Linked DNA regions of Kluyveromyces lactis. The protein of the gene in region 2 purifies or fractionates together with the protein of the main gene of each other region. This does not show direct contact. Links are inferred from orthologs where the notes say so. Each region holds a gene or a part of one and is shown on either strand. Other genes may lie near its edges. The genes, in order: RFM1 and SUM1.

Region 1 (8,325 bases), about 670 kb from region 2:
GTTTTTTTAGCTAGTCGAACCCACCATGTCCAAGGTTGATTTTACACTTTTAGAATATAAGACAAGGAAAATTCAATATAAAGAGTTAAGGTTTTAGAGGAACATACAAGGAATTTAGATGAAGAAAGTACGTAACATAACAAGCCAACTGCTAGTGTTTGATATATAATGCATGAAAATTCCAATTCTTTGCGTTTTGGAAAGAATGGAGCTAGTAAGAGCTTCCGGCGTTTTGCTTCGCCTTTCAGTAGCAAAAGAAGAGTACAATTGACCAAACAGAAGCAATCCAATGCAACTCACCAACTGACTGCCTATAGACGGAAAGACCAAGATGACTTTAAGAGAAGACTGCTATCTCATGATACCAATGCTACCGTCTCAATGGTTGAGTCGCTCATAGAAAAAGGTAAGAAATTATTAAAATCAGTGTCAAAAGAAGAGACATTGTTACGGAATGAGTTAGAATCCGAATTGCGTAATGAACAACTCAGATTACAATATGTTAATGAAATAATGGAAGACAACATGAAACCCATGGATCAAACCGACTCCAAGGGTGTTCGCGTATCTGATGGTATACAGATGAAAGATGAAGCAGACTCCTGTCTAGAATCTGAGGATTCTATCGTTATTTTGAGCGACAATGAGGGATCTGAGAATATTCACACAATGAATAAGAATGCTTCGGTGTCTATACTTCAGGGACAAACTTCAGAATATTCAGAAGGAGATTCAATCAACTTATCTGAAAGACGTGACTCTTCTCATTCTGAAAGTATAATAGAGCAAGCGGAACCTAGTGACGACGAGGATGATGATCTCTTCAATGAATATAGCGACAATGATTTATCTGAAAATATTGCATCAACACCAAGGTTGAAACAAACGTTCATGCAAGCCTATGCTCAGAAACCTGGTAATAAGACAACTGATTCAGTTACTCCTCGTGACACTTCTATGGCTGGTGTTGAACTTGAAGATAATGACTTTCTCTCCGATAACAATTCTGAAGACAACATAGAACATGAAGAAGACGTGATGCTTTCAGATTATCAGTCCTCTGATATCAGAGAATCCAAGCCTTCCGGAATTTTCTCACATCAAACTCTCAATGATAAGGATAACCTTGAGGAATCCGAAGGTTCCCCAGAATATTATAGCACTGATGACGAAAAGCTTACCAATGATGCTCTTGCGTCAAACTACGATGAAAGTAAAACCAATGGGAAATCCGAAGAGGAACTGCCTTCTGATCAAGAATCTGATCTGATGCAGGATCAATCATCCGAAATAGAAGATTTTGATGATGGTGAAATATCTCAACAAATATCGAGCTTGTCAGACGAATTTAGTATAGCTAATCAGGCGATCGCACAACTTAACTCCCATGCGACAGACAGTGATCAATCTGTTGATGATGTTTCTGACAAAGACATATATTCTGAGGAGTCATACAATAAGGATGAAGCTGAAGAAGCATATGAAGACGAAACAGAAAAGGTCATCAATAAAGAATATCAGACAAGCTCAGAAGCTCCTGAAATCATAACAGATGAGGAAGATATTACCCAATTATCAGCAACTAACACACATGAATTGAGATCCGATGGTATCGGTGAACTGGGGGAGTATAGCTATCAATTGGATACGAATAATAATGGTTACGGTTTAATTACGGACAACGATCATTCTTTGATTTTGAAAACATTACATGAGAGGTCCGTTCCCAAAAATGTAGAATATTCCGAAAACAATGTAAATACTACTGGTTCTGGAAATTCTGAGGAACTGTCCGAAACTTCAGTACAAGATATTGACTTTGCTTCAAATGCCATAGATTTACCTCAAACAACGCTTTCTAAGACGGAAAAGGAAGTTTTCGCTGAGCCTAAAGAACCATGCATGGTAACAAAAGAAGCAACTAGTGTTGAACGACAAGAACGAAATGTTGGTCAATCTGAACCGAGATATTGTTTGACTTTTTCTGATTCGTTCTCAGAAGATGATAACCCTCAAAATAATGCCAATGCGCACCAAACAGAAGAGAATTCTGAATATCAGTCAGTATTTGCTTCAGACCCTTTCCACTTAGATTACAATGAAGACACTGATAAAACAGATTTTCTTCATGATTTATTATTAAATACTTTGGATGATCCTGCATCCGACGTAACACAAAACCCAACGTGTTCCCAGCAAGTTGAACACCCCTTTGATCATGAACTAAACGCCGAAAATATGAAAGGGACAGTTGAGGAAGCATCAGAAGATTTTCAAACCTACAATGTGAGTTCTGAAAGTCCTTCAGATGACATTTTTCATGATGCCCTTGACATTAAGCATAGCTTTCCTATTTCTAGTGATTTCTTCGCGTCTAAGAATGTCCAAGTCTCTCCGGAAAAGAAAGCTGGACATAGTAGTATGACTATCGATCATTCAATAAATGAAAATAAACCAAATATTCCGTTGTTCATCGATAAGGAAACGATTCGCTTAACTACTAGTCCCGTACGAGTTAACCAATCTGAGAAAGTTTCAGGCGATGCTTCTATCAAAAATAGTAGAAGAAGAAAACTGGAAAACAATTTGAACTCCACACTCTTCCAAAAGCCTTCTCAGCATCATAACATTCCGTTATTCAACCTGAACTCTAGTCAGACAACAACTAATAACCTGCCGAACAATTCAGACGGTACCGACTCTCACGAGAAAGCTGGATCAACGTCTCACGTAACTTATCCTAAACCATTGGAGCCCTCAAAGGCAATTTCAGATCATGATTTGTCAAATTCTAGCCGTGAACATGAGTCGGAACTACTGGCATCCGAAGCGCTTCCTGATGATAAACCTGTAATAAGAATTCCACTCCTTGTTCACCGCACGGAGGTACATGAAGCTGCATCTCCCTTCGAAGATACTGCACAAGCCAAGAGATCTACTGAATTGAGTGAGTACGTAGAATCCTTAATGGAGGATCCGACGCAAGAGGAATTAGCCGAGCCTATTGTAATGGAACCAGCTGACATGCGGGTACGCGTTCGCACCACAAGTTACATCGAAATAGAAGAAATAATAACCGAAGATATTAATAATAGTGAAATTGAAAAGATTACTACTGAACCTGAAGTTTCGTTCAGAGAATCGCCTGAACCAGTGCATCGAACTGTGGAGCTGGAAGAGTTAGCAGTTGAGCAAAAAATTAACGCTGAAACTCAAAAAATCCTCCACTTTACTGATGAAGAAAGCCTTGATCTGCAAGCAGATGAGTTATCCATTGAAGTTAATGAAAATGAATCGAAAAATGAACTGCAACAATCAAACATTCAGCTATCAATTTCCAATACAGACATTACGTTAAATATTCCTCACAATTCTGCTACTGCGTCAGATCAGATACCATACCACCCATCTGTGACTTCAGTGCCTGATATATCTGAAACTGGGCAAATGGGGTATCCGAATAACGAAAATGACCTTTTGAACTCTGGGTACCAAGGAAGCCCTTCTGTAATATCTTCGTCATCGAAGGAAAATGCATACGAACTTCATGCAGATTTTAATTCGGATGAGCCTTCCCTCGCTGTCAGCGGTGATGTAGTTGTAGCAACAAACCATGATCTCTCTGATGGGAAAGTAAACAAACCTTCATCAAGCTTGTTATACCAAAGTGAAATTTCATCCACTCAAGATTCACTGAAATCACCTTCGCCAGAACCAACACTAGGTAAAAGGATATTAGCTTCACCTTTGAAAATGCTTAATAAATTGGCAGAAGGCGTGAGGTCTATTGGAGATGCAGCGACAGAATTTGCAAGTTTAGTGGATCCGATTTTAACAGAATCAGATTCGGACTCAGCTAATTCGAATCATTCTGAGAATAACAGCGCGCCTTCTGAACCTGAACACAATCAGGACCATGAAGAAAACAAATCTGAAAATCACTCTGGGGAAGAGTCTTATGTTTCGGAGGAAGTTCACTCAGTTAAAGAATCAAATGAATTGCATGATGCCGAAGCACTACAAACACTAGAAATGATTAATAAAACAACGGACAAAATTAAACATTATGGAGGCATGGATCTACCCAAGGACACTCCGGATGAAGACGTTGATACAACTCCGACCTCAGTTATCATCGATGATACCACTGAACTTCACTTGGCTCCAAGCGACGCAAATCCTATTACGTCTCCTGGTCAAAAACTAGAAACATCTACCCGAGCAGGCTCGATTCCAATTGAAATCGAAAATGAAGAGTCAGACGCAGCTGATATTCCAGTCACTATTGAAAAAGCAGAAACACCTCAGCAGAGAACACCGGTGAAAAAAAGACCACGCGCCACAGAGAACAGCAGTCCAAAACCTTCAAAGCGTAAAAGAAGCAAGAAAAGAAAACAAGCTCGCAAAATCACTTCAGTTGCTCGAAACTTGAGATCTAAATCGAAAAAGCGATGATTGTGACAATATAACTATAACCATCACGCCTCAAAAGGCAATCTTTATGATGATATTATATAGTGCTATATTGGTATAATGTTATGTTTTCCGGGTAATAAAATTCATCACTTCAACTCACTTGGTTAAATCGTATGCAATGGTGGCCAGCGATAGAGAAGCTAACACTCACACACTGAAAGAGAAAGCATCCCAAGGATTGTAAAAACCAATTGCAAAAGCTTATATGAGATATTGAAGGCATGCGATCTTTTAGTGCTCCAGGTAAAGCCCTTCTAGCAGGCGGTTATTTAGTTTTGAAACCAGAATATGGATCTTATGTCGTGGCGCTATCGTCAAGAATGCATGCTGTTGTCAAGCAAGACGAATTAATTGGTCCATCATCGTCATCATCAATAACTGTTAAAGTCAGAAGTACTCAGTTTAATGACGACGAGTGGCAGTATAAGATGGATTCAAGCTCCAATTACAGCCCACAAGAATTGCAAGAAAACAAGAATCCCTTCATCGAAAAGGTTTTATCAACAGTCTTCAACTACTTTCAACCCGATTTAAAACTACAAGGAAACATAGTGATCGATATTTACTCGGATGCTGGCTATCATTCCCAGGCGGGAACAAAACTGAGAAGTAACGGTGTGAAATCTTTCCTTTTTCATAGTAAATCTATCACTGAAGTCCCCAAAACTGGGTTGGGGTCTTCAGCGGGATTGGTTACTGTTTTAGTCACGGCATTGGTTTCCTGCTTCAAACAAAATCTTGATGTTTCATCAAAGGATGATATGAGATTAATTCACAATTTGTCTCAAGTGGCACATTGTCAGGCACAAGGTAAAATAGGTAGTGGCTTTGATGTTGCTGCAGCAGTGTACGGAACCATCACTTACAACAGATTTGATCCCGTACTCATCGAGCAATTACCATCACCATTATCGTCAGCATACCATTTCGCTTTAGTTTCTTTGATTGATGAAACCGATTGGAAAATAAAGGCCTCTAGAGTGTCTCTCCCTCCAAGATTGAGGCTAATAATGGGTGATGTTAATAATGGATCGGAGACAACAAAACTCGTAGCAAAAGTCAATGAATGGTATAATGGTAACGGTCAAGCCGCTTTTAAAATTTATAAGGCCATAGACCAAGCGAACACAGAATTTGTCGAATCCTTGCGTGAACTTACTGCCCTATGTGACCAAAGCACTTCGGAATATGAAGCCTTGATTGAAACCATTAATGATAAAGGAAGAAAGACACACCCACTACTGCAGAAAATAGTTCATTCCGTTCATACCATTAGAGAACACTTCAGACTCATTACGGAACAATCAGGTGCCGATATTGAACCTGAAGTCCAAACACATCTTTTAAATGCTGCAATCAGTTTGCCGGGAGTGTTAACCGGAGTTGTACCAGGTGCTGGAGGATATGATGCTATTTGTTTGATTACAACAGACAGTTGCAATATAGCGAATGAAACAAAGAATGATCCTACCTTCAGAAACGTTACATGGTTAGATTTAAATCAGCAAGATTTGGGAATCATTGAGGAAAAACCTAGTACTTACCAAAATTTGAACTAACCTAAACTATTTAATAAAGTACTTAAAATTACAAGCATTTATAATTGTAAGCTAAATTTAAAATGAAAAATTTCTACATGCCTGTTCTTACTCCGGCAAGGCCACCATCGAACCTTGAAAGTATCTTCTTGATGCGAAGATTCCTGGCAAGTTCATTAATTTTTATCTGCTCAGGTTCGTGTTTAACAGGTTGGTTCTTCTCAGGTATATATCTCTGTTTCGGTGGTAAAAGCCAATCTGACCTCCTTGCCGGCTCTTGGACTTTGGTAATCAAATTCTCATATAAGTGTTGAATTACAGCAGATGAAGAATCAGGTAGAGATTCCGTGGCATTGTCGATCACCCCTTCTTTACCTTCCTGCTTCTTCCTATTCAATTGCTTCTCCCTTTCTTTCCTTGTCAACCGACTTGATCTTCTAATAGGTCCTGATTTGTTTTCCTCTATTATTGAAGCTGTTGTGATGTCCCTGTTAATTTTCCAAGGATTACTTGGTTTATAATCAGTATCACTTTCCTTCGCAGCCAGGCCAGGATCTGAGTCCGATGCGGCATGATCTCCTTCTATGGAGCTATCACTTGATGACTTGGATTCATTACGTGAGCTCGATGTATTTGTGCGTTGAGAAGACCTTTTCAACCTTCGATACGGCCCACCACTACCTCTACTACGTAATCCATCCACATTAACTTTTCCACTCGCTGATTTGCCTACTTTGAATGTTTTAATGAGGTAATATTCAGCGTATGATTCGAACTCTCTTGGCTTGATCTCCCTTTCGAGTTGTTTTAATACATCATAAACTTTCTGTCTTCTCTCTTTGATCTGGTTGATGTGCTTCCCAAAGCCGACCACCGGAGTTGACTTCGCATCTTTCCAATAGACAATTTCATTCGAAGCCTGTCCTTGATCTACAGTGTATGTACCATTAATCGGATCTACCACTGGTTCAGTGTAAGGACCGTCTTTATCCACTGAATCATCTCTGCCGTTTCCAATAGTGTTTGGTGTGAAAGGTGAAAGAACGATTGGAGAGCTTACCATCGTCCTTTCTAATATTTCTTTCGATCTTTCGGTCACAGATTCTTTACGGAAACAACTCACTAAATTGCTCTACTTTATACAGTTTTAATACTCCTTGCAAGTATATAATTCATCATTTCACTCTTCTCATTATGAATGTTTCAAAGTACTGTGTAACGTCAATTTTTTTTTTTATTTGATTGTCACTGGATGCGTTTGAAAAGAAGCACTGAACGCCCTATAACTGTGATTCAGGAGGAAGCCAAATTGAGAACATACATCCAACTGTGACCGAGGTAGTCATATTCCGATCAATATTTGCAAATAATATTTTAGGTTGAATGTGTTGTTGTAAAAGGGATTGTTTTAAAACTACTAGGTTATCTATCTCATAAACTCAGACTAGAAGTAACAAATATAAAGAAAAGTTCTATGTAGAATTGTAGGTAGCAACAGGTGACTTGAGGGCATCATCTATCAGTGTAGCTCTCCTTTTTGACTGTGTTCTAATGTAACCCAAAAGTGCCACCGAAATTACAACTGTCGTGGCCAATAAACCAACGTTCACTGGGGTAGGATTCATATCGAAGGTAGTATGTGTCAGTTTGTCCAAATAGGTTTGGAAGAAATTCAGACACCCTGACACACAAATCATTGAGCCATAGACAACTCCGAAGGTTTCAAATCCAAATATTTTAGAACAGTAGTCTGAAACAACGGTATAATAGAAGGGCCTGAATGCAACTAGCAGTAATATGCCTAGCAAATTCGGATAAAATGATGGTATTAACCCCATAATGCCAATAAATACAGAAAGTCCACACACAAGCAAAAGGACAGAGTATGTCTCTAGATTATCTAGAATTATCCCGATTATAGGAATGGATAATATACCAAGTAATGGTAGAGCTACGTCAAATATCGAGTTCATTAATGCAGCGAGTTTAGAATCACGGAGTAAATACTCTTCTTGTGATCTGACAGTTGCAACGAAATAATTTATTCTCAACATGGTGACAATCGTGAAAAGGAGCATTAAAATAAACCAATAGGATTTGATCTGCTCTAAAGCGGATTTCTCATGCAAGACACCGAAAATCCCTCTGGTTCTTTTTTCTAGTCTGGCTTCGACGTAGTTCTCCAACACAGACTTCCTTCTCGATCCATGAGAAAGAACTGGCTGAATCTGTGGACCTGTTCCGGATAACAAGGATGAACATTCATCTGCATCAGGTATCACCATGGACGCATCTTGGCCCTCTGGAAGAT
Region 2 (9,679 bases):
TCATTTGGTCCAAACATATTTGTAACTGGGTTAATCTATCGGTCATTTTTGTACACTCTTCCTTGCCTCTACTGGAGCTGGTTTGTCGCAATATTGCTAACTTTCTTTCACCTTCGAATTCGTTTATATAAATCATTGACTATGATTAAGTTACAAATATTTCAGACAACTTCAAAAGTTTGGTTTAAAACGTTTATGACTGAATAATATACGTAATATGAGAAGAAACTGCCACGATTTGGATATTAATAGACGCTAGGAAACCAATGATGACGGAGGATGACATATATCAACTCATTGTTAAGAATCTTGCAACCTATGATTCTCTATTAGAGCAGTTGCAAGCTAGTTTTGAAGAAGGTTACCATCAGTTGAGCAGAGCGAATTATCACAATAAGAACACACTTCGAGGATCATATGGTAAGGATTACTGGGACGAAACTTATACAGGAAACAGGTATATCTCCATTAATGACAAGCACTCTGTTTCGGAGACTGAAGAGCCGTTGCATATTGCCAATGACGAAGAAATCATTCCTGAGAAAGATGAAGCAACCAATGAGAATTTAAAGAAGAGAAAACAAAGAGAAAAACTATTGGCAAAGGTGAAGAAGGATCCTATATATATGTTCGGAGGTGCCCTTTCAATCCCAAGCTCTTTGAAACAATGTCAATTATCTTTCAAAGCTTCGATGCCGGTACTTTATCAACTACTAGAACTTCGACGTACTCTTAATGGTCTACTTGACGCACTAGGGACTCTGTCAAATTCAGCTTAAGAACTTTATAATTGCTATGGGAATGATCTTATATCAGAGTTAATACAAAAGAAAACTATCTGTACAATTGCTAATTTGGAAAGAACAGTTTACTGGAAACGAAAATAACGTTGGATGGCGCCAATTGAAAGACGTACAATGAGTGTATATCTGTACACATGCAGATTGGGGATTAATTATTAATAAATGAACGACGAAGGGTTAATCTGTATCAAAAAGAGAGCTGATTTCAGTAAATGCAATAACGAGTGAAAGATGGGTATATTTTCTTGAGAACAATTGTGAAAGTGAATGGAATGGCCCTGGCCACGGGTGAAGATCATAGAATAGATTTATAGTAAATGTTTGAATTTCTAGCGTAGGAAAACTCACTAGAGCTTTCATCCAATGACGATCCAGCATCACTAGGCTGTAGATAGCATAATAAAACATCATCAACTGACCTTCTGGTTCTTGGAGAGTCTAAGTATTCTGATGGCCTTAAAATTGGTGTCAGAATTGGATCAGAGTTTCTTTTCAATGAGTGCTTTGGTGTAATTGATTTTTTTGGTACTGATTTCAAGTCATCCAAAAGCATAGTCTCTAAAAGATCCGCAGAATTTACTGGTGTTTCCCATTGGAATTTGTCTATTTTCTTGTCTCCCGTTTCAGGTGTTGATACCTGGAGGATTGATTGTTCTTCTAGCAAAGTTGGGAACTGATAGTTTTTTAGGAAATCGACATCTACTTCACTGGCATCTGATTGAGAATATTTATGCTTCAAATGTGTCTTCTCTAGGGTAGTTAATTTTGAAATGGAACGCATATGCGAATCGTTTAGCAAGGAGGTAGCCATTGTTGAAGTTGATGTCACTCTTTGGTTCGAGTACGTACTGGATCCAACCGAAGAACGTTTTGTAGATGACCCTCTAGAAACCAGATGGTGTTTAGCATATGGAATTGCATCTGTTACGAAAGCTTTAGTCATTTGCGTTGGGGAATTGATTGTTGAGTTTGTCGGAAATTTGGTATTTTCCGGTATATCCTGTAAGTGACTGTTAGATGGTGGTGGTGAATCTGCAGTAGGCATTTCAAATCCTGCCTTAGAATCTGCATGTGAGATGTGATTAAATCCAAATGGGACAGAAATTTTTAACTTAGGAGGTTCTTCTTTACTTGATTTATTTTGAAACAGTTTTAAGAGGCTGTTCTTCTTCTTCTTGAAAGATTTCTTTCCAGATTGTTTATCATACGCATTTGGCGGCAATGGAGGAAGATTAATGTTTTTCCTATTACTTAAGACAGGTTTATCACTATTGATCATTACAACGCCCAATTCATCATCATCGTCAGAATCCAGAAGCTGGTGAGCTTGTAAACCATATAATTTTTCTGTTTCATCGTCTTCATCGAGCCAGATCGACTTGATCTGAGGTACGTTCATCATAAGTATTGGCCCAGATCTGTTGGTTGTTTTATTCGGCAATGCCTGGTTTCTGATGATTCAAATCATGGCCTTTGTACCCTGGATCATGTTTATCCGTTTATATATACATATATCGGCCGCGTCCACAGTGGTAATGTTTCATGCATTCCTAGGTTTCACAATTTTCTGACATTTTTCGCATCTATGGTTAACTACTACTGGATTCAGTTAATTTAGGAATTCCTATATTAGGTAAAAACACGATTTTTCATTTTCGCACCCTCTTCAGGAATGCAGATACGTTTCGTTGATCGAAAATTAATGTTTTCTAACCTCTCTAATTCACCATCGCCAATCCGGTTTTTTCTTTTTTCTTGGGTTTCATGTCTTCTTTTTTTCTTTTGGCGGCCGTTATTTTTTCTCAAGTTTCTACGGCTTTTTTTCGTGGGTTAGATAAGTCATTAGTTGACCCAACATGGTTACCAATTACGACTATTTCACATTTTTACTCCATAGACTTTCTAGACTCTTAGAACTGGCGGTTCTAGGTTCCTCGGACTCTTTGGAAAAGCTTGGTTGGGGTGTGTATTCATCGGAAATGCTCAAACTATTGAAAGAAATTTCAATGAACTCAGAAAAGTCTTTCACTATCGCATTATTCTCGGAGTCATCTGCTGAAATCGATGTCGGGGTGAGATTTACGCTCAATTTTCGTCTGTTGGTTGAATCCATTCTCGGTATCACTGGCCTAGTACCTGCTCTATAATCTCTCTCCATTGCAAAATTCATATATTTGATTTTATCCAATTCTTGGTTCGATAACGGTTCTGTAACAAAAGCCCTAGAGCGCTTGGAAAGGAATGTACTATTATTCGTTCTTGCAATATCAGGTGTCGTTGGACGACCAGCCAATAAGTTTTTAATGTCATCGCATTCGCTCAAGGACTTCTCTATACGTTGTTCCCAATTTTCTTTCCGTTTATCCTTCAAACTGCTTCTTTTAAGAATGGAAGAGCGTCTCCATTTTCGTAAGTAACTCTTCACCTCGCCCATTTTAACTTTGTGTGGCACTTGTTTTCCCAAGTTACTGCCTTACGTACTGTCTGTGTTTTTTATATAATAGACCGTTTCTATGTAAGGCGGTTTATGATTCGAAGAAGAAAATCGTAAAGTCTCCAAGCTGGATACTTTTATACTCTTTTCAATAGCCGCTGAGCTTTTGATCGGATTTACACCATGTATGTGTTGCGGGTAACAGTAACCTGCTCTTTTTACAGATATTAGAATGAAAAATAACTTTGGGTTTAGAACTTGATAGTAAGTTTGACTTTGGAAACTAAACGTAAAATTGGACATGTTAAAGATGAACTCAAAGTGGATTGAAATCACCGATATCATTACTCTTACCCATAATTTCCTAAATTTACCTTGTATCCATCTTTTGCTTAATGCTTATTGTACTATTTTCCTTATATAAATATAAAATCTATTATATATCGTATTATCGGTACTATTGAATGCTTCGAGAGATTCAACAGTAGAAGTGCAGTATGAAAATTAAGTTCATGGTAATTCAGCTTTTTGTTCTTTTCGAGTCATCACTTTCCAGTGTATCTGGGTTTTTCCTTTTGACTATTTTGAACGATGAATTCTGTGTAAAATCTTCATTGACTACATCTTCGTTACCAATACAAATGACTTGCTTATAGCTCTTATTTCTTAATCTACCATTTAGAAGTACCAAACTAGCAAGCTCGCCCATGGATTTACGAGATTTGTCATTCGGAAGCCCAATAAAGTTCAAAATGCTTGTAACTCCAATGACATTACGACATTCTAGTGGGCTGGTTGCTCCACTACTGACCACGATTCCTCTGTTCCTGCAAGTTCTGATCACACTCTTCACGTTAGATACGAACTGCCTACGTGTTCTGATATCTCGAAGAGCGTTAGCATAAACAATTTCTACTTTGACTCCTCTCTTAATGCAACCCCCCATCATGTGATGTTTCAAAAGTGTAGGAAGCCTTTTGTCGTAGTAAAATGATAGCACATCAACATCCAAGCTAGACGTTACGAGAGTAACAGCCTTTTCACTGACTGGAAGGGCTGCCACAATATCGAAAGCTTGCGATATCTTTGTCAACGGCTGGCCTTTTGAAAGGTCATCTATAATAATTGTGATTCTTGTATATAGCTTTAATCCCGTAGATTTCACTAGTTCATCAAAATGCGATAGATCGATAGGATTCATATCATTGATTGATTTTGGGAATTTATCCTGTTGGTTTACTGTGAAATTTAAAGCTATGTGAGTGTACCCTAGTGTATGCAATGTCGCTAGAGTCTTGTGCAGCGTTTTAATCTCCTTCGTGGAAGGCGGTGTTGCAAAATCCTTCTGTGGCCAAGGAACGTTTAAATCAACTAACATCCTTTCAAATAGCTATTTTGCTTTGCAAATTTGGAAGGAGTATTTACAAGTGATTCAACAGAAACTTTTGTTTCCATTTGAGTGTCCAGCATACCTCATCTCATGCTCATGTTTCATTATTTACTAGATTTTTTTTTTGGTAGATTATTGTAATGTCTTTTCCGAAAAAATTATACTTGAAGATATTATAACATACTATGAAGTACAATCCTTACTTGAAAGCCCAACTGTTGAAAAATACAACTTTAAACTTCATCCAATCGGCCATGTCACAATGTTTTTGAGTATGAGAACAATATTATCTAAATAGAATAATTGTCAGTTTATTTATAGAGTACATACCTTACTATTTGTTCCATAAAGTGATAAAATGTCCGTTAAAATAGGTTTGATGAAAAACAGCGCCCAAAAAGGAACCATTATGATCTATGTGCATAAATATCATTGCGTAGAGTTCACATCTTCTGAATCTTTCGGTAAAGAAGGTAAGTGCTGATCTTGATTTACAGCTACCGCCCCAGTAGCATGGTTTGTATTTTCTTCAGTTCTATTTCCAGCCAGTTCCGGAACTGGGGTTTCTGACTGTTGTTGGACATGCTCAGTGTGTAATTCCTTTGTTCCCTTGTCTGCGGGAACATCATTCGTAACATAAGGCTGTTCTAGAGGGCCTTCACTGTTTTCTTTGTATGGAATAGAACTTGATTTCTTGTTTGAATTTTTGCTACCATCTTCTAGGAAATCAAGAACCAAAATATTATCGATTTCTCTATTAATATTCATGACATCGACGCCATTTTTACCAACAAGCGGTAGTTCAGTGCCTCTGGCGAACATCCATTCTCTCCAATGAGTATTCGTATTATCACATAAATCAAAAAGAATCATTTTTAAAAGGGTAATGTGGTTGTAAAACCATGAAACCGACCTATTGATGAAGACTCTGTAATTTTCCATTTCTTTGATTGCATGCAACAATGTATAATTGTGGAAACCTCTCTTATCTTTCGACTTGTCTCTCCAAAACTCAAATAATGCAAATAAGGCTTTCCGTCTTTGCCAAGTTCTCTTAGATTCTCTTAGCTTTAGACCTAAACTTACCAATCTATTCTCCCAACGGAATTCCATCAGGAAATATTCTAATGAATTGACGTATCTCTCGGTTAATATGACATTGGACAAAACTTGACAAGCCATTGAGGTTTCAATCTCAACGTCTGGTTTAAGGAAATACGCGTTGATTCTATCCTGTCTTGTTAACTCGGCGTAATCTTCTTCATGCATTGTTAATTTAATCAATTCGTCTTCTTTGTGTCTGAACTTCAAATCCAAATACTCTCCCGCTGTGATTGGAATTGTAGAACCTTTTCTATAAAAAAAACCTTCACGGCAGTAAAGTTCCACAGGGGATGACATTAACAAAGACGCTGCATTTTCTTGGGATTGATTGTTAGAGCTTGGTCTTCCCCTTTTATCTTTCTTTTCTGGTAACATCGGAATCATCCTGCTCATCTTTCGACGATCATGCAATGTTAGATGCCTTTTCTTATTTGGTGATTCACCACCAGATTGTAAAGTGGTGACGGAAAAGTTATCCTGCGAGTTTTCTGTCGAATCAACAGATAATTGAGAACTTGGTAATGCGTCTGCAGATCCTTGAGGAGTCGAATTTGGCATGTCTAACAGATGAGGTCTAGCCGAGCCATTCTCTTCTGTTTTTACACCAGTAGATGCATCATCATTCAAGATAGACAAGATTCTGACCTTACGTGGTCCCTCTGCTTCGTTGGACATTTGAGATCGATCACCGATGTCCGAAGATGTTCTTTTCACAGAGCCGTTCAGATCCTTGTGCTCAGAATTCAGTAACGACGATTTTTGACCGTTAACATCATCCGCACTTGCCGTAGAAACTGAGCCTACATTGCCTGGTTGTTCCAAATTGTTATATGCTGATATAATTGTTTGTGGTGTCACAGAGCGAGCAGAGTCTGGAGGATTAGACGAAGGTGATTGAGCACCAGAAGAATTCTCCGCTGTTTGCGACAGGGAGAAAGGTACTTTTGATAACTCTTCCAAATGTTTACTTGAAAGTTGATATTTACCCAACGGTACTGGAACGCTGAAAGGCACCGCTGTCATTCTTTTCTTCCGTTCTTCTTGTTTCATGGCCATGAAAAGATCTTTGTTGAGTTCCATGAAATTCCTGGTAACGTTACGATCGCTATATTTCATGGTGACTAGCATCCTTTCTCTTTCATCTCTTTTCATTTCGAGCTCCTTCTGTTTTCTGGAACGAGAGTCATGCATATCATTAGCCAACTGTTTCTGATCGTCTGTGACATCGCCCTCATCATCTTGCCCTTCATTATCAGACATACCGGAAAACGATGATGAAAGATCCGATTGTTCATCATATTGGCGCGAACCACTTTTCAATCTTTGAGATTTGCGTCTAGAGCTAGAGCTTTGCCTTTCCTTGGTATCATTATCTGCAGCATTTGTCTTTCTTTGTGAAGAAGTGAGTTGAGCTTCCCATGTGCTTTTCTTTGAAGGTCTACCTCTACGTTTCTTTGGTTCCTGAGGAGTCTCTTGCTTGACGTTAGCAGAACTACGAGATCGACTGTTGCCAACCCCATCTGCATCATAACCTGAGTTGGACTCCGTCTTTTCTTTACTTGGGTCCAGGAAAAGACGTTTTGATTTTGATATATGATCGCTTGGGAATGGCAATTTCGCCTTTTTATCGCCATTGGACAATATCGAAGTGTTCTTCTTAGGTGGTCTACCAGGTCCCCTATGAGGAGGAGAGACGCTTGCAGATGACATATATGCGGGTGATCCATACGCAGCAGTTCCCATCGTCCCTGACGATGCACCTGATGTCGCGGACATCGTTAACCTATCGGATAACAACCTGTTGATCTTGATGATCTCCACGGATAGATCGTTTATGGCCGCATCTGAATTCACCTGGTTCTTTAAAAGGTCCTCGAATTTCGTTTCCAAAACTTGCTGGTTATGCGATAAGTTCTTCAAAGTCACCACAACTGACTCAATACTCTTTTGAATTATTTCGTCAGTTTCAGGTAAAATAGACTCAATTTCAGAAACTTTTTTCTCAAGCTCTCGAATTGTACCTCGTTGACTTTCTAAACCCGCTTGCACACTAGAAATACCATTCTTGTCCTTTTTATCTACTACAGAACTATCCTTCTCTTGTCTGGAAACACCATTCTCACCAATTCCAATTTCACCATTATTATCGTCATGGCCTGTCATCGCAGTATCAGAATCCATACTGTCTCTGATTCAGCAAGCAGGTTTCGTCTGTTCTGACTCAAAACCTATAACAACAGATTCAATCCGATCTACACCCGTTAAATAGTCACTAGTACCCTGTAAAGCACCACTGTCGTTCTGTTTCTCGACAATAACGATGTTTAACTATTTATTGAATTTCAATTTCGCTTTTTTTTTTCTTTCACTTTTCCAATTTTCGTCGTTTTCACCTTAGTGCAAATGGAAAAAAACAATCAATAATAATCAAGTAGAAAAAAAACTCAGAAAATGCTGCCAAAAAAAAAAATTACTGTAAGGAAAAGATGGCGGAATACTGAATGTGTTAAAGTTGAATTTGATTTCTTTTGATGTGCGAGCAATGGTTATCAATATGATGAGCGGACTTTTGTATCGTTTACGAGATTCTCGAGATATGGATGATCTTTGCGGCAATTTTTGGATAATCTTAAATATATAAACATACATGTTCAGGTATATAAACCTAATATATTGCAAGTGAAAGTCGCAAAATAATGTCGTACCTTATTTTGCTGCTGTTAAAGTGGGTTTTTCAATTGAAATTTACACTCCAAATGGTAACTGTCCGGGGTAATAAATGTAAAAAAGAAAAAGAATTTATTGTCAAATAAAGATGTCAAAATACTGAGAGCGCAAGAAAGGGAAAGTGATCAGCTCATGAAGGTTTATTTTTACACTATATGATATATATGATACACATTTTCTTAATGTCTATATATTTCTCGACGTGTTCAATTTCAATCTCAATTTCACAAGTTGCTGTATGGTTTTGTTGACTTTAGCGTCAGATTCTGGTAGTGAGAATTTTTTGCACAACGTCACGATGTAGCCGTTAATAAAATCAATTTCTGTTTCTCTTAAATGTAGGACGTCCTGTCTCATTGAAGATGAGTTACTTCCATTCACTATACATCCCATATAAATGGTATTTTTCAGTGTTCTTTCTAAATTCAATCTGCCAGTGACGTCTAGTTCTGGTAGATTCCCACTTTCAGTATTTCTGAAGGTCTCTGGATAATCGAATAACGGTTTATATGCGATTTGGAATACATGAAGAGCCTCTTCGATGATCGAAGTGAAGATTGGTTCTGAACAATTGGCTAATTCTCCATTCATGCAGTCTATAATTGAAGTGACAGAGTTGATACAGCAATTGACTAGGAACTTCTCTAATTGTCCCAACAAAAGTTCCTGGTACGTCATATGGATGACAGCCAACGATTGGTCCAATGTTAGCAAAGCTTTAACCAGATCATTTTGCTTCCATTCATTCAATTGGTCTAACGTTTCTATAATATTTTCATCATTTTCGGGTAATTTCGAGACCTTGCAATCAACAAACCCTGCATGATTGTACTGATTCTTAATCTCTTTATCTTGGAAAATACCATGGCCAATGACACCTTGGAACAAATTTGATTGTAAGTCGCTTCCTGTGAAGACTTGTTCCTTCAACACTTCAGCGACACCGAGTCCGTTTTGAATCATGATGATGTTAGTGTCGTTGTGAAGGTACGGCAGAAACATTTTCAATGCCTCAGCCGTTTGATATGTCTTACAAGTGACGATCAAATTATCGATTTTGCCTTGGAAGATGCCGGGGCACGTCGCACTTTGAAATTGCTCTGTTAAGGGAGATAAACTCGCATCGAACAAAGGTTTGATTGTAATCTTGCAATCAAGTTTCTTGAATTCGTTGAGTCTGTCCAAAGATCTGAATATTGGAATAACTTTTCTACCTCCATA

Evidence for each region.
Region 1: the proteins of SUM1 (region 2) and RFM1 purify together in Saccharomyces cerevisiae (affinity purification with mass spectrometry; 3 studies listed by BioGRID, with this or other methods). This does not show direct contact. The link is inferred for Kluyveromyces lactis from reciprocal best matches to the Saccharomyces cerevisiae genes SUM1 and RFM1.

Annotation. Positions count from the first base shown.
Region 1 is NC_006039.1:609,352-617,676, reverse strand, and holds RFM1 (Rfm1p), read right to left. Parts: upstream 7,078-8,325; coding exon 6,109-7,077; downstream 1-6,108. Other genes in the region: ESC1 (Esc1p), read left to right, coding at 169-4,455; ERG8 (phosphomevalonate kinase), read left to right, coding at 4,698-6,035; FMP42 (Fmp42p), read right to left, coding at 7,487-8,325. UniProt on the Saccharomyces cerevisiae protein: Tethering factor required for histone deacetylase HST1-mediated repression. Probably involved in targeting HST1 to a subset of SUM1-regulated genes.
Region 2 is NC_006039.1:1,282,384-1,292,062, reverse strand, and holds SUM1 (Sum1p), read right to left. Parts: upstream 7,913-9,679; coding exon 5,057-7,912; downstream 1-5,056. Other genes in the region: SRB7 (Srb7p), read right to left, coding at 1-46; VMA22 (Vma22p), read left to right, coding at 267-779; GIC2 (Gic2p), read right to left, coding at 1,099-2,205; KLLA0_C14740g (uncharacterized protein), read right to left, coding at 2,677-3,237; RNA-binding RNA processing protein RPP1, read right to left, coding at 3,758-4,615; 2-dehydropantoate 2-reductase PAN5, read right to left, coding at 8,645-9,679. UniProt on the Saccharomyces cerevisiae protein: DNA-binding protein that specifically binds the regulatory region of middle sporulation genes (MSE). Required for the repression of middle sporulation genes during vegetative growth. Represses expression via the recruitment of histone deacetylase HST1.